2 linked regions of the Pelodiscus sinensis genome follow. Each later gene encodes a partner of the first gene's protein in a complex. Links are inferred from orthologs where the notes say so. Each region holds a gene or a part of one and is shown on either strand. Other genes may lie near its edges.

Region 1 (7,205 bases):
ACTAGTCACTTACATCCCTACATCAAGGACCAACCATAGTTGGCTTCATTTCATTGCAAGCACTTTTCAAAAGTTGTATGCACCTTTTTAAAACATCTTTTCTCTGTCAAAGTCGTCCTAGTGGTTTCCAAAAAACCAAACAGCTACCATCTAAGTTATATCAATGTGGGAAAGATTATACTCTTGAAAAGTGTTCTTTGTGAGAATAGTTGAGTAGACCAGATGCTATGACAATAATTACCTCATGTTCTTGGTTATCTTGTCCATCTTTACCACTTTTTCCACTTTTGCCCAATTTTGCAGGTTCCTGAAAATTAAACATTTGTAAGTTTTTCCAGCATCAAGCTTAATTTCAAACAGAATCAAATACTTTTTCAGTCAAGTAACTGATTGACCAGAGATCTGCATGAAAATATGCATTACAGAAGATTAAAGCCTAGAAATGTAATTATACAATTACAATTTCAGTCTTAGAAATTGTACAAATTCTCACACCTTCAAAATACTTTAAAAACAGTAGTTATTCCTCACAACATACCCATAAGATTAATTCATGAAAATTGCTTAAGAAAACTAAGGCAGAGTGCAAACGGTATGCACAAAGGCACAGTAAATCAGCCTTGATCTACCCTTTATTTTTAGCCTTTAGTGTAGCTCTGAATCCAGGGTAACCTGTTCTAGACCAAGCCATGGTATACAGCACTGTACCATGCCTATACAGATGTTTCCATCTACGTAACTGCAACAGCAGCTAAAAACCCAATGTTAAAACTGGGTCTATTACTAGGAATGTAAAATTCTGATTAATTGGCAAATCGAATAATTGATGAATATTTGATGCAAATTGCGATTAGCCATCCCCCACTGGCCCATGTTCCCTGCAGCATTTCAAAGTGGAACCACCGCACGGAGCCCAGGGTCAGCTGGGGACTCTGACAGAGGCAGCAATGGGGGGAGGGGAGAAGCAACTAGTTGTTCACATCCCTATCTGTAACCCAAGAGTTTCTCCTCAATATGAATGAGACCAAATCTACACTGGCACTTTACAGTGCTATAAATTTCTGTCTCAGAGGTGGGGAGGGGGAGAGGAAAAAAAAACCACACACACACACACCCCTCTGAGCACAGCAAGTTAGAGCACTGTAATGCACCAGTGTGATACAGCACCTGGAGCTGTGCTCCCTGCACTGTTAGCTTACTCTTCTCACAGAGGTGGTTAACAGAGCGCTAAAAAAGAGCTCTCCCAGCATTTATGCCATGGCCACACTTTCAATTTAAAACACTGCTGTGACTGCACTTTAAGTTGTTTTTAATCCAACGCTTTATCTACATTTAACACCTCCTATTTCTCTCACTACATGATAAAGGAAATAAAAGGAATACAAACATTAATGGTCTACAATTTTTTGGATCAATGCAGCATTTGTATTTTAAGGCACAAAAAACAACAACATCATAAGACAGATAAATCCACAAGCAAATGATACTGAACTGATGTGAAATTGCTTAAAGGGTTTGCCTGAAATCAAAGATGTAGAGAGAGCTATGTAGTGGAACAGGCACAGAATGGGAGTCAAGAGCTCAGTTCCACTCCTGGCTTTAACACCAAACAGAAGCGGGTAATTCACTAATCATGCAGTTGATTGAATTTTTATCAACTACACAATTAACGGATAAGGGAGGTTAAAGCTCCCAGCTCAGGCTGGGTATGGGAGCTACTTCTGCTGTGGCTCTGCAGTTTAAATGTAGTAAGAGCCAGGTGGGCAGACAGCCCAGCCCAGCCCCTGCTCTCGCCAGGTATGGGACCTACTCCCACTATGGCTTTTCAGTTTAAATGTATTAAGAGCCAGGCTGTCTGCTTGCCCACCCCACTCTTATTACATTTAAACTGCAGAGTCGCAGTGGGAGTAGGTCCCTCATTGCGGCTCTGCATTTAAATGCATGTAGTTGATAGCATTAACCAATAAGCTTTTGCCTATTAGTTAATTGACTATTATATCCCTCTACTCCCACTTGTCCTGATCTCAGTATGTAAGCAGCTTCCATGTAAAATCAACAGCAACAACGAAGTCTCCAATGGACTTCATGGACTCTTGAGAACAACTCCCCTTTTGAGGTAAAAGCTCTGGTTGGGCTGCTTTGCCATGTAAAGCAAGTCACTACATCTTTGCCTCAGTTGCCCTGTTTGTAAAACGGGACCAGTTTTATCACACTGGGGAGGAGATGGATCTATGAATGCAGTTTCAAGCAATGGGATATGGAAATTAAAGCAACAGAGTAAAGAGACTCAGGAAAATGCACTGATGCCAACCTTAAGAATAACCTCCCCTCCCCCAGAGACCTGCCCCGCTTTAAAAATACCCCTTCCCACACAAAGCAGAGATACCCACCTTGACCCAAAATTAATAGCTCGCCTCTCACTCCTACGTACACTCGATAAAAGCCACCTCCCGTTACTCTCGCCCCAAGCCATTACCCTTTCACGCCCCCAATAAATCCCCTCTGCCTCTCCGCCACGAACCCCAGTCTCTCCCCTCCCCAATAGGAGTGAGTCGGGCCCCAGGAACTGGGCGAAAAGAGGCAGCAGCGGCTGGGCTAGGCCCACCGCCCACCCACGGGGAGAGTTTCCCCGTTCCTCGCCGCCTCCCACAGGGAGCACCCCGGAGTCCCTCGGCAGCCCGCCCCGCCGCCTGAGCGCCCGCCTGTCTCCCCCGCGGCCAGGACCTGCCCAGCTCTCCCGGCGCTCGCCGCCCCTCAGCGGCTCTCCCCACGGCCCCTCTCCCGCAGGGGCCTGGCCCCGGGCCCTCCGCGCCCCAGCCGGGCTGACTCGCCTTCTCCTTCTTGTTTTTATTCGGCATGGCCGGTCAGTTGGGCGCCCGGGCCGGGAGCGGCGCAGCCTCCTGGGGTCCTCGCTCCGACTCCCCCGCCCCGCTCAGGCGCTTCCCCCTCTCAGGCTCCCAGCGGCGGCGGCGGCGGCAGCAGCCTTAGCTCCGCCCGGCCGAGCCGGGACGCCGCCTCGGCATTGGCTGTCCCCCGTCACGTGGGGCCGACGTCCCCCCCTCCCCTCTGTGAGCCAGGGGGCGGGGTCGTCTCTATCCCGGCGGCGGCTGGGGGAGTTGGTCGTGCCTGTGGAGCGGCCTCCTAGCGGGGTCGCCCCAGCCTCGCGCCTTCCCGCATCTCTCCTGCTCCCGCGGCTCAGACAGAGCAGCCCCCCTCGCAGGGCCCGGGGCAGAGTCGCTTCTCCGGCCCAGCCCGGAAGGAGGGGGAGCCCCGGACTAAAGCCGTAGCCAGCGCCTCAGGCAGAGCCGTTTCCCCGGGACGCAGACATCGCCCGATGGGCCTGTCTTTGGGGCTCACGTAATGCCCTTGGCCAGAAGCACAGCCCGCGCTCGCCCAGCTTCGCGCAACGCCTGGAGATAGGCTGAGGATTCAGTTGCTCACGGGAGGGCTGCTGTGGGCTCCGTTTTTCCAGACTTGGATATTGACTTCAGCAGAAGGCGGCCTAAGACCGGCTCCCCTATTGATCATCATAGAGGCTGAAGATGCTCAGCGTCTCTCGGGCTTAGATACCCCAGCATGTGATCACAGTTAACCCATGAGGAGAAGGTGCACGCTGCATGGGCGATAGCCTATATTAAATGTATTACATCTTAAAAAACAAATTGTCTAGTAGCTCCTTAAAGACTAACAAAACATGTTGATGGTATCATGAGCTTTTGTGGGCACAACCTGAAAAAGTAGGTTGTGCCCACAAAAGCTCATGATACCATCTACATGTTTTGTTAATCTCTAAGGTACTACTAGACTATTTGTTGTTTTTTAAGTTTTTCCTGTTACAGACTAACTTGGCTACCCCTCTGAAGCTATTAAATTTATTATCTTTTCTCTTTCAGTGGAGCTTTTATGTTGGATGAAACGTGCATTATTCTGTTAGCCCCACCTCCCTGCAAAGATTATAGTTTGAAAATGAACTACTTTTTGATCCATCCAAGTGAAATATAAAAGAACCATCCGAACGAAATAGAAACAAATAATTTTAATACAAATCCTCAACAAGTGAACATCTTTTCTTGTTTATCTTAAAATTATTGTATTACCATAGTGCTTAGGAGCTCTGCTCAAAGACTGGACTTAATTGTGTGAGATATGTTAAAGCTACAGAACAAAAAGATGATTCCTTCTCCAATGAGCTTACAATTAATGCATAAAACAAAGACAACAGGTACAGATAAGGAGTACAAGAAAGCATATCAGTCTTGTTGTAAATTTTTTTGTTGGCTTTATAGAAAAAGAATTTGAAGGACAATTTTGAGGGGGAATCGTGGTAACTTTACAGATATTTATGGAGAAGCATGGGAGAAAGTACTAAGGTGTTAAGAGAAAAAAGGGTGAGGCTAAGAAAAGGGTCTTTGTAGTATAAAACTGAATGGAAATGAGTCAAGGCCAGAGAGACAAGCGTTGTAATAACCAAGATGCAAGAGGAAAATGTAAACAAGTTTCAGCTGTATGAATGGATGGGAAGAACGTGTTGTAAAATATCCAACTAGAATTTTGTCAGATGTTCTGTTGGCTGAGAAAAAGTAGAAGAAAGTTTAACCCACAGAATAATGTCAGAACATGTCTGTAAACCTGGAATGACAGTGCTTATTCATCTGTCATTATAGTACTGCTATCAAGGGTTAGTAAAATGTACTAGATGCTTAGAAGCCAGAGGCAGTATGAAAGGTTTAAAGACCTTTACTCACTCCCAAAGACTGAGTACCACAGGCAACAGAAGCTCAGACCTCAATTCTAGTTGCTGGGATTCCTAATAGCAATTTCACATTTTGTAGCATGCAAAGTCAAAAAGATGGCAGAGCATCCATTAAAATTTGGAAGGTTGTCTTTGTGACCACCAGGCTAGAAACCTTTATTTTGTGGAAAGTCTCATCTTCCCTCTTGTTCTACTTGTTATAGAAAGCATCTCATTCACTAGTAACAGTTAAGTGACTCGATTTTTCCAGATCTAGTATAGTGTGTGTGCAATAATCAGTGGGCTGAGGTGGTTGATAAAAGATAAATTCTATTTGTTCTAGTGACTTCCTGAACTGTGAGACCAAACAGTTGATTTATATATTCACCATAACATTAAAATGAAAAACTTAAAAAACAACAAATAGACTACTAGCACCTTAAAGACTAACAAACAAAACATGTAGATGGTATCATGAGCTTTCATGAGCACAGCTCACTTCAGATGACCGGAGTATTATTAGAAGTCCAGATCCAATAATAAATCTAAAATGAAACTATTTCTAATTGTACTAATAAATCACTATGAGAGCAAGTATTTTGCTATCAGTATGGGAGTGACTATGCAAAAAAGTTTATTTAATTTTAATATATGACTACACTAGTATAGCTATGTTAATGTCTGAGCATGCCCAGTATAAACTAGATGTTTCTGAAAGCCACAACGGATTACTGAATTACAAGTTGCTGCAGTTAACTCTTGTGCCTTCACCTCCAATCCACATTCTGAATGCTTCCTAAACAGTACAAACAACACCATTTATTAGAATATACATAGTAAATAGTTTAAACTTGCAAAATAATGCATCAAAATCTAGCTGTTATAAATTACTGAAATTTAAGAATGAGTTGATATTGGACTAGAATGTTCAGTATGCTACCGAGGAAGCAAGTTTGCTCATCTAGTCCTGCCCATCTTTACTGGGCATTCCATTATTTTTTTTAAATCCCTTTTCTTAGGACTTGCCTATCCCCAGAAGCTTCACAGATTTAAGTAAAGATGTGATGTAAGTGCATGCAAAATCATAGCAGCAATCCGCCCACTCATCAAGGATTAGAGGTTCTGGTGAATAATTATCATTGCATGCTAGCACACATTGAACCTCAAACCGACCATTCCCTCTCATCATGCACTCAGATCTCCTTGGATTTCTATCGTGCAGTTCCAAATGAAGAAAGGATCAACTCAATCACCAAAAATATAAAGCTGAAACAGATACTTTGAACAAAAAATTTCTCTAAACTTATGCTTCAGTTGAAGCTGCCATATCCTGTCCCTAAAAAGTGATCAAGAGTGCTAAACCACTTTATCAATGCTGAGCATCTAGAGCCCATAATAAAACCCAGCACCATGCACTACAAAGAATTATCATCCTACTTTGCCAAAAAGATGACCCGCTTTTGGGAAGGTATCTCAAACAGCATGGATTTACTACCCTTAAACAAATTAGAGGTCAATAATTCTTCGGGTGTATCCTTAAATTAATGTCTGGGTACCAACACCCACTGAATCCTATTTATAAATCTTATTTATAGCCATTCTCTAGTAAGGCTCTGTCCTGCTGACATGGTCTGCTGTGCTGTAAAGGTTAAACAGTAATTTATTCAGAGCTATCTACAAATCAAACTCTCCTAGAGGAAATCAACAATAGCCTAATTTCAGAACTGCACTAATCATAAAACATATCAGTGCAACTGGATTGTTATAAATGATAAGATAGATTCATAGATTTTAAGACCAGATGGAACCATTGTGACCACCTGCATAAAAAGACCATAGAACTTCATAAGAACATAAGAACGACTGTACTGGGTCAGACCAAAGGTCCATCTAGCCCAGTATCCTCTCTGCCGACAGTGGCCAGCACCAGGTGCCCCAGAGAGGGTGGGCCGAAGACAATGAACAAGCAATTTGTCTCCTGCCATCCCTCTTCAGCCTCTGACAAACAGAGGCCAAGGACACCATTTTATCCCCTGGCTAATAGCCTTTTATGGACCTAACCTCCAGGAAATTATCTAGCTTCTCTTTAAACTCTGTTATAGTCCTAGCCTTCACAGCCTCCTCTGGCAAGGAGTTCCACAGGTTGACTATACGCTGTATGAAGAAGAACTTTCTTTTATTAGTTTTAAACCTGCTACCCATTAATTTTATTTGGTGTCTTCTAGTTCTTCTATTTAGGGAACTAATAATTAACTTTTCTTTATCGGCCCTCTCCACACCACTCATGATTTTATATACCTCTATCGTATCCCCCCTCAGTCTCCTCTTTTCTAAACTGAAAAGTTCCAGTCGCTTTAACCTCTCCTCATATGGGACCCGTTCCAAACCCCTAATAATTTTAGTTGCCCTTTTCTGAACCCTTTCCAAGGCCAAAATATCTTTTTTGAAGTGAGGAGACCACGTCTGTACACAG
Region 2 (7,476 bases), on another chromosome or scaffold:
ATGACATTCCTCTCAGAATGTTATAAGCATGTCCTTAACTTGGACACCTCCTTTTCTTCCATATAAAAGCTCAAGATTTTTCCTCTCACATTTAAAAGTGCCCTTAATTCCAGCCTATCATCTCCCTTTTACCATCTCTATTACTATGCTCCTGCCAAGAGTCTTTCCTAACCATTTCCTTTCTTTCATCTCTCCTCCATCTGGAAGAGCCTCACAAAAAACATTAGCCACTCTTTCTCTCTCAGGGCACATCTACACTACAGCAGCAGAGCTGCAGCTCCATAGGGTAGACACTTCCAGTGTCAATGAAAGGTTTTTCAATTCACATAGGTAATCGAGCTAAGCTGACAGAAGAATTCTGTTGAGCTAACTGCATCTAGCTGAACCATAGCACTTGGGAATAAATTTTTCATCTCCATGAGTCATGGAGCAAGGCTGCTCTAAATTTTAAGTGTTGACTAGGGCTTAGCTCTCATCTCTGTCTCTATATTAAAAAGCTTTTCCTGCAGGACGACAGACTGACATCATCATGTCACTCTGTGCCCAGCCTGCCTCCTCCCTCTCTCCCCCATATCCCAGCTTGAGCCCGACCTCACTGCTTCCCCATGCCACTTGGAATTGCTATTTTAAACCAAGCCCCTACTCCCCTTTCTCCACCCTCACCCCACAGGGCTTTCAATGCCAAGAAACATGGCACAGTAGCCAGCAGACCCCACATGGCAGCCATGACAGCCCAGGTCCGGGGGGGGGGGGGGTCGCGGGTGGAGAGAGAAGAGAGACAGCAGCCAGGGACAAGCATTAGGAGAGGGGCTCCCAGTCAGGCTTGAGTGCCAGAAGCAGGCTCGAGGGTCTCCCTGCCCCCAGGCTCTTGGGGAGCCCGAGTAAGGTGCCTGACTGCCTGAACTCCAGATGCCCCACAGAGACTTACCCCCTCCCCAGCAGCTGCACTTACCGCAGCTGTCAGAGCACCCCCCGAGCCACCACACAAACCTGTCTGCTCCTCCTTTCTGCTCCCGGCGGGTACCTACGCAGCCCTGGGCTCTTCAGGCAGGGGTGGGACAGTGAGCAGCACAGGCAGGACCACACAGGGGAGAGGTCGGAACAGCAGCCCACCTGTGGCAGCTTGCCCCACCATAAGAGGCTGCAGTGCCCCGGAGCTTCGTGTGCACACGGCACTACCTATGCTTCACTATGCCCCACGCAGGGCAGGCAGCCAATCCTGCACCTCCCCAGCTGCTGGGACTACAGCTGGGCCTAGCACACCATGCGGCCAGGAGAGGGAGGGTTAGAGTTGGGGGAGGGAGAAGTGACCCAGGCCGGTGGGGGAAGGAAGGGGAGAAGGGCGAAGGGACCTGGGCTGGCATGGCAGCAGCCCAGCCCTCCTTGGTGCCTGGGGGCACAGTCCCCTACTAATACATTTAAATTTGTTTATAAAGCTGATACCTGTTTGCTCTGCATTGTGCTATCCCGGGTGGCAGATTGCTCAGCAAGGACTTACTTGCCTGGCAGAGTTCAACTACCACCCAGCTTCACACAGTAGTACTGGTTCATCTAATTTTCTTCATGTCAACAGGCAGATGGCCTGATAAGCCAGGTCCATAAACATCTCATAGACATTTGTGAATATCCTTATTCAAGACTGAATTTCCAACAAAAACTATTATAATTATTAGTGTCAAGTTACCCTCTAGTGAAACTGTTCAATCTGCTGAAACACATCTCAAGTTAATATGTTAAATTCCTCTCCCATACCTGATGTAAATGTCCCAAATGTCCCCTTGCACACAACTGGCACCCTTGCCTGTCCTGTCAATCCCTATCCACCCTACAAGGGATATCTTCGCCTCCTTCTGCCAATCCCCATTACCGCTGCACAACCAGCATCCTCCCACCTGCAACAACTCTCTCCTCACCCCACAACAGAGACCCTCACCTCCTTGGCCAGTCTCCCTCAAAGTACAAAATTAAAGTCTGTGTGCCTGTCGCCCTGTTAAAAAAGGCCCCAACCAGCAAATTAAAAAAGACTTGCAACACGAGGACATAAGGTTCCAAAATGTAAAGCTCCTCTGCCCACCCCACCACAAGAGGCACCCCTCGCCTCCTCTGCCCACCCCCTCCGCCCACCGCAACAGGCTCCCCTGCCTCCTCTTCCCATCCCCCCAACAACCCCCGCCCAACAGGCGCCCCCGCCTCCTCTGCCCATCCCCCCAGCAACCCTCGCAACAGGCGCCCCCGCCTCCTCTGCCCATCCCCTCAGCAACCCTCGCCCAACAGGCTCCCCCGCCTCCTCTGCCCATCCCCCCAGCAACCCCCGCCCAACAGGCTCCCCCGCCTCCTCTGCCCATCCCCCCAGCAACCCCCGCCCAACAGGCTCCCCCGCCTCCTCTGCCCATCCCCCCAGCAACCCCCGCCCAACAGGCTCCCCCGCCTCCTCTGCTCATCCCCCCAGCAACCCCCGCCCAACAGGCTCCCCCGCCTCCTCTGTCCATCCCCCCAGCAACCCCCGCCCCCTCTGCCCATCCCCCCGCAACAGGCGCCCCCGCCTCCTCTGCTGGTCTCCAACTTCCCAGTGGTAAAATGCCCGTCTCCCCCCAACCCCCGCCCCTCCCGCCCCGGGATCAGTGACCTAGACTCAGCCCGCCCCCGTCTCCAGCCGGCTCTGCCAGCCCCGGACAGGGACCCTCCCCGCCGGGGGGGCCAGCGCCGCCTGCCCGCTCCCCCACCTACCCCATGCGCATCTTGGATCCCGACTGGCCGCCCCCGCCGGGCACAGCGGGCCGTGGGGGCAGGCGGCCCAGGTGCAGATGTTTCTCCAGGGTCGACATGATGGGAAGACGCCGAGACACAAGGGCAGGTATCACCCCGCCGAGCCAGCAGCGGCTACCCCCACCCACCGGCGCCGGAAGTGCCTGCTGCCACGCCCCACTGCACCACGGGAAACGGAGTCCGCCCCCGGGTAGGGCTCATGCCGGGGAGCGCCTCCCCTGCCGGAAGTGCCCGTCCTCGCGCGATCTTCTTTAGCCGGAAGCGGGGCCGCAGCGCCCCCTGGGGATTGTTGTTCTTACCGCTGGGCTGTGCGCTTGCGCGGCTCTGCTTGCGGCTCGGAGACTCTCCCGCCCTGTCCCAGCGGGCCCCGCGGCGGGCTGAGGCGGCGGCGGCGGCGGTTGCCGGGCAGCGGCGGTAGCTGCGGGCCGCGCCTGGCGCGGGGGAGCGGCTGGGGGGTGGGGATGAAGCAGAAGAGGCCCAAGGGCCCCGCTCCCAGGGTGGGAGGCGGCGGGGCCGCCCGCAAGAGGAGAGGTCAGAACCCTGCGCGGGGGCAGCAGCTGCCGGGGGGTGGCCCCCGGGGCCGGGGGCGGTAGCCGGGGAGGCGGTGCCCCGGGGCGCAGCGGGCCCCCGAGCAGTGGGTGGCGCCGGTCACGTAGTGGTGGGTGCTCCGGGCCCCGTAGGAGAGGGCAGATCTTCTGATGGGCATCTGAAGGGGGGGCAGCACCCTGCGCGCTGTGGAGGGTCGCGATTCTGGGGGCCAGCACCTTGGCGCTCTGTGGGGGGTGGCAGGTACATGGCGGCCTGTGTGGATTATAATGTGGGGTGTGCCCTTGCGGTGCCGCAGAGGGCTGGGAGTTGCCATATGGGTCTTGGTGGGTACTTACAACCATATCGGCAATAGGGAGTAACACTGCTGGCGCAACACGTACCCCGAGGGCACATTGGAGTCGGGAGAGGCTATAGGCGTGGAGATGTAGAAGAGATCTGCAGTTTGTCCATCAATCGCCCTAGGAGGCCTTTCACTGAAGGGTAGGGGGGCGTGTTGCAGAGTGGTGCTGGGCAGACAAGTTGTAACATCACCACTTTCCGATTTTCATTGTGGCTTAGGGTTGGTTTTGCAGTCACAGTCTCAGCGGTGGTGTGAATGTGTATTCATAGAATAATAGGACTGGAAGGGACCTCGAGAGGTCATCGAGTCCAGCCCCCCGCCCTCAAGGCAGGACCAAGCTCCGTCTACACCATCCCTGACAGATGTCTATCTAACCTGTTCTTAAATATCTCCAGAGAGGGAGATTCCACCACCTCCCTTGGCAATTTATTCCAATATTTGATCACCCTGACAGTTAGGAATTTTTTCCTAATGTCCAATCTAAACCTCCCTTGCTGCACTTTAAGCTCATTACTCCTTGTCCTGTCCTCAGAAACCAAGAGGAACAAATTTTCTCCTTCCTCCTTGTGACACCCTTTTAGATATTTGAAAACTGCTATCATGTCCCCCCTTAATCTTCTTTTTTCCAAACTAAACAAGCCCAGTTCATGAAGCCTGGCTTCATAGGTCATGTTCTCTAAACCTTTAATCATTCTTGTCGCTCTTCTCTGTACCCTTTCCAATTTCTCCACATCTTTCTTGAAATGTGGCGCCCAGAACTGGACGCAGTACTCCAGCTGAAGCCTAATTAGTGCAGAGTAGAGCGGCAGAATGACTTCACAAGTTTTGCTTACAACACACCTGTTGATACAACCTAGAATAATATTTGCTTTTTTTGCAACAGCATCACACTGTTGACTCATATTCAACTTGTGGTCCACTATGACCCCTAGATCCCTTTCCGCCATGCTCCTTCCTAGACAGTCACTTCCCGTCTTGTATGTATGGAACTGATTGTTCCTTCCTAAGTGGAGCACTTTGCATTTCTCTTTATTAAACCTCATCCTGTTTACCTCTGACCATTTCTCTAACTTGCTAAGGACATTTTGAATTATGTCCCTATCATCCAAAGAAGTTGCAACCCCACCCAGTTTGGTATCATCTGCAAACTTAATAAGCGTACTCTCTATCTGAATATCTACATCATTGATGAAGATATTGAACAGTACGGGTCCCAAAACAGACCCTTGAGGAACTCCACTTGTTATCCTTTTCCAGCGGGATTTAGAACTGTTAACAACAACTCTCTGACTACGGTTATCCAGCCAATTATGCACCCACCTTATCGTGGCCCTATCTAAGTTATATTTGCCAAGTTTATCAATAAGAATATCATGCGAGACCGTATCAAATGCCTTACTAAAGTCTAGGTATATGACATCCACCGCTTCTCCCTTATCCACAAGGCTCGTTATCCTATCAAAGAAAGCTATCAGATTAGTTTGGCATGACTTGTTCTTCACAAACCCATGCTGGCTATTCCCTATCACTTTATTACCTTCCAAGTGTTTGTATATGATTTCTTTAATTACCTGCTCCATTATCTTCCCTGGGACAGAGTTAAACTGACTGGTCTGTAGTTTCCTGGGTTGTTCTTATTCCCCTTTTTATAGATGGGCACAATATTTGCCCTTTTCCAGTCTTCTGGAATCTCCCCTGTCTGCCATGATTTTTCAAAAATCATAGCTAAAGGCTCAGATACCTCCTCTATCAGCTCCTTGAGTATCCTGGGATGCATTTCATCAGGACCTGGTGACTTGCTGACATCTAACTTTCCTAAGTGATTTTTAACTTGTTCTTTGTGTATCCTATCTTCTAAACTTACCCTCTCTGCTTGTATTCACTATGTTAGGCACACTTCCAGACTTCTCGGTGAAGACCGAAACAAAGAAGTCATTGAGCATCTCTGCCATTTCCAAGTTTCCTGTTACTGCTTCTCCCTCCTCACTAAGCAGTATATATATGTTGCAATATATTTTGTATGTGAACTACGGATGTTAAATTGCGGATAATCAGCTACTTGATTAGCTGATAAAGGCGTGGTGGGGCTCGCTACCTCTGCTGTCGCTCTGCACTCCTGGCTTTGGAACCCCTGTGGCTCTGCCTCCCCTCCTCCTCCCCTCACACCGGCTTCTGCTTCCCCCTCATTGCAGACCTTGACACAGAGGCAGCAAGGGGAGGGGGGAAGCAAGTTGTTTAGTCCCTTACATCCCTGATGTGAACATGAGGTGTGTTACAGTAATGCCAAAAACTTGCCATGTACATATGTTGTTAGGCCAGAGCTACTCAATTTTGGAAGCCCTGGGGCCCATAATGATACTTACAGTACATGTTGAGGGCTGCAACTGAAGTGTGGTTGTATATACATGCAAATAGCTTCTTTCACACTGATGGGCATGAATACAAAGATTAAGGCAAGATTACACAACACTTAGGCCCCATTTAAGTCAGATCTGTTGATATTAATAAAATGCAATATTTACCCAATTACCACCCATATGACAGCACTTTTAGGGTGCATCTATACTGCACGGCTTAACTCGAATAAGCTACGCAAATTATGCTACATCAATTGTGAATCTTATTTTGAAATAGGGAGCATCTACACAGCACTTATTTTGAAATACAGTGCTCTTCCTCCAACTTCCCTCACTCCAGGAGTCGGAGTAAGAAACCCTCTAGCTTGACAGTATTTTGACACTATTTCGAAATAACTGCCTGCTGTGTAGACATGGACTAAGTTATTTCAGAATAGTGCTAGTTATTTCCAAATAGTGTTGCAGTGTAGACATGCCCTTAATGAGCAATGACAGTCCAGGAATTTAACTACTAAAATGTATATCAACAGAAGATCATTATATTGACTCGCCGTTGTGGAGCGTGTTCCCAGTGGAGGCCAGGTTCAAAAGATCCCACCCGCAAGCCACGTGTTGAGCCCCATGTAAACCCAAACCACAACGCAGGCAGCAAACAGACAGGCTGCAGGCCGCTGATATTATGGGCCGTGCGTTGAGTAGCCATGTTGTAGGCTGTAATGTTATATGCATCTATAGGGTAACCCTAAGTGTGGCATAGAATATTAGAAACACCAAGTATTTTTTTAACTCTATAAAGTGATCTGTATCTCGAATATGTTAACTGCATTTATGTTTTTGAGAAGTAATACTGTTTCTTTTTTGTATCTCTGCAGGAATCAGTGATATCTCCCCTTCTACAAGTTTACCACCTCTTGTTGAAGGCCAGTTGCGCTGCTTTCTGAAGTTAACAGTCAGTAAAATCTTGTGGATGGTCTCTAAGCCGCCTGCTACTGTTCTCATCCGAGTGAGGTGGTGGGGGGAAACATCAGATGGCACGCTTTTTATTCCCAGGAATACTTCACAGACTGAGCAAAAAGCAGTGAAAACCACCACCCACTATGCAATCCGTTGTGGACCAAAACAGTTTGCATCTTACCTGACAGGTACAGTAGTGTATGCTCTGTATTAATTTTGCAGTTGAAATTTCTATCATGACATCTGTTCAGTAGACTTCATCAGTAATTGCAAAGTGCGTTCATGTGTAAAAATAACCCCTTAATTTTATTGTTAGTGAATCTAGAATATGGTTTTATGTAGTGTGTTTCATGTTTCATATTTCAAAGGGCATTGAATCATCAGGAGAACCATAAAAATTAAAAACTATCGCACAGTACTGATGGTTCTTAAATATCCTTATAGACTGACCATGGAAAAAGGATTCAAAGGACATAGTGAGAGACCTGTGTCTTCTAGACAAATAGGTGT

What was found.
Region 2: the proteins of PPP2R5C (region 1) and PPME1 are in contact, whole or in part, in a cryo-EM structure (PDB 7SOY), measured with the Homo sapiens proteins. The link is inferred for Pelodiscus sinensis from reciprocal best matches to the Homo sapiens genes PPP2R5C and PPME1. Residues at the interface, in NP_002710.2 of Homo sapiens: Asp180, His187, Arg188, Tyr190, Gly191, Leu194, Arg197, Ser230, Ile231, Gly234, Phe235, Ala236, Lys240, His243, Asp313, Gln341, Tyr348, Glu353, Tyr354, Glu399; in NP_057231.1 of Homo sapiens: Arg37, Lys38, Arg39, Asn192, Lys217, Val251, Glu252, Gly253, Ile254, Ile255, Glu256, Glu257, Pro345, Gln346.

The regions. Positions count from the first base shown.
Region 1 is NC_134714.1:22,623,770-22,630,974, forward strand, and holds the start of PPP2R5C (serine/threonine-protein phosphatase 2A 56 kDa regulatory subunit gamma isoform), read right to left. Parts: upstream 3,009-7,205; 5' UTR 2,859-3,008; coding exon 2,832-2,858; intron 308-2,831; coding exon 242-307; intron 1-241.
Region 2 is NC_134711.1:322,164,627-322,172,102, reverse strand, and holds the start of PPME1 (protein phosphatase methylesterase 1), read right to left. Parts: upstream 3,005-7,476; 5' UTR 2,826-3,004; coding exon 2,728-2,825; intron 1-2,727. Other genes in the region: C2CD3 (C2 domain-containing protein 3), read left to right, coding at 3,228-3,297, 6,885-7,154. UniProt on the Homo sapiens protein: Demethylates proteins that have been reversibly carboxymethylated. Demethylates PPP2CB (in vitro) and PPP2CA. Binding to PPP2CA displaces the manganese ion and inactivates the enzyme.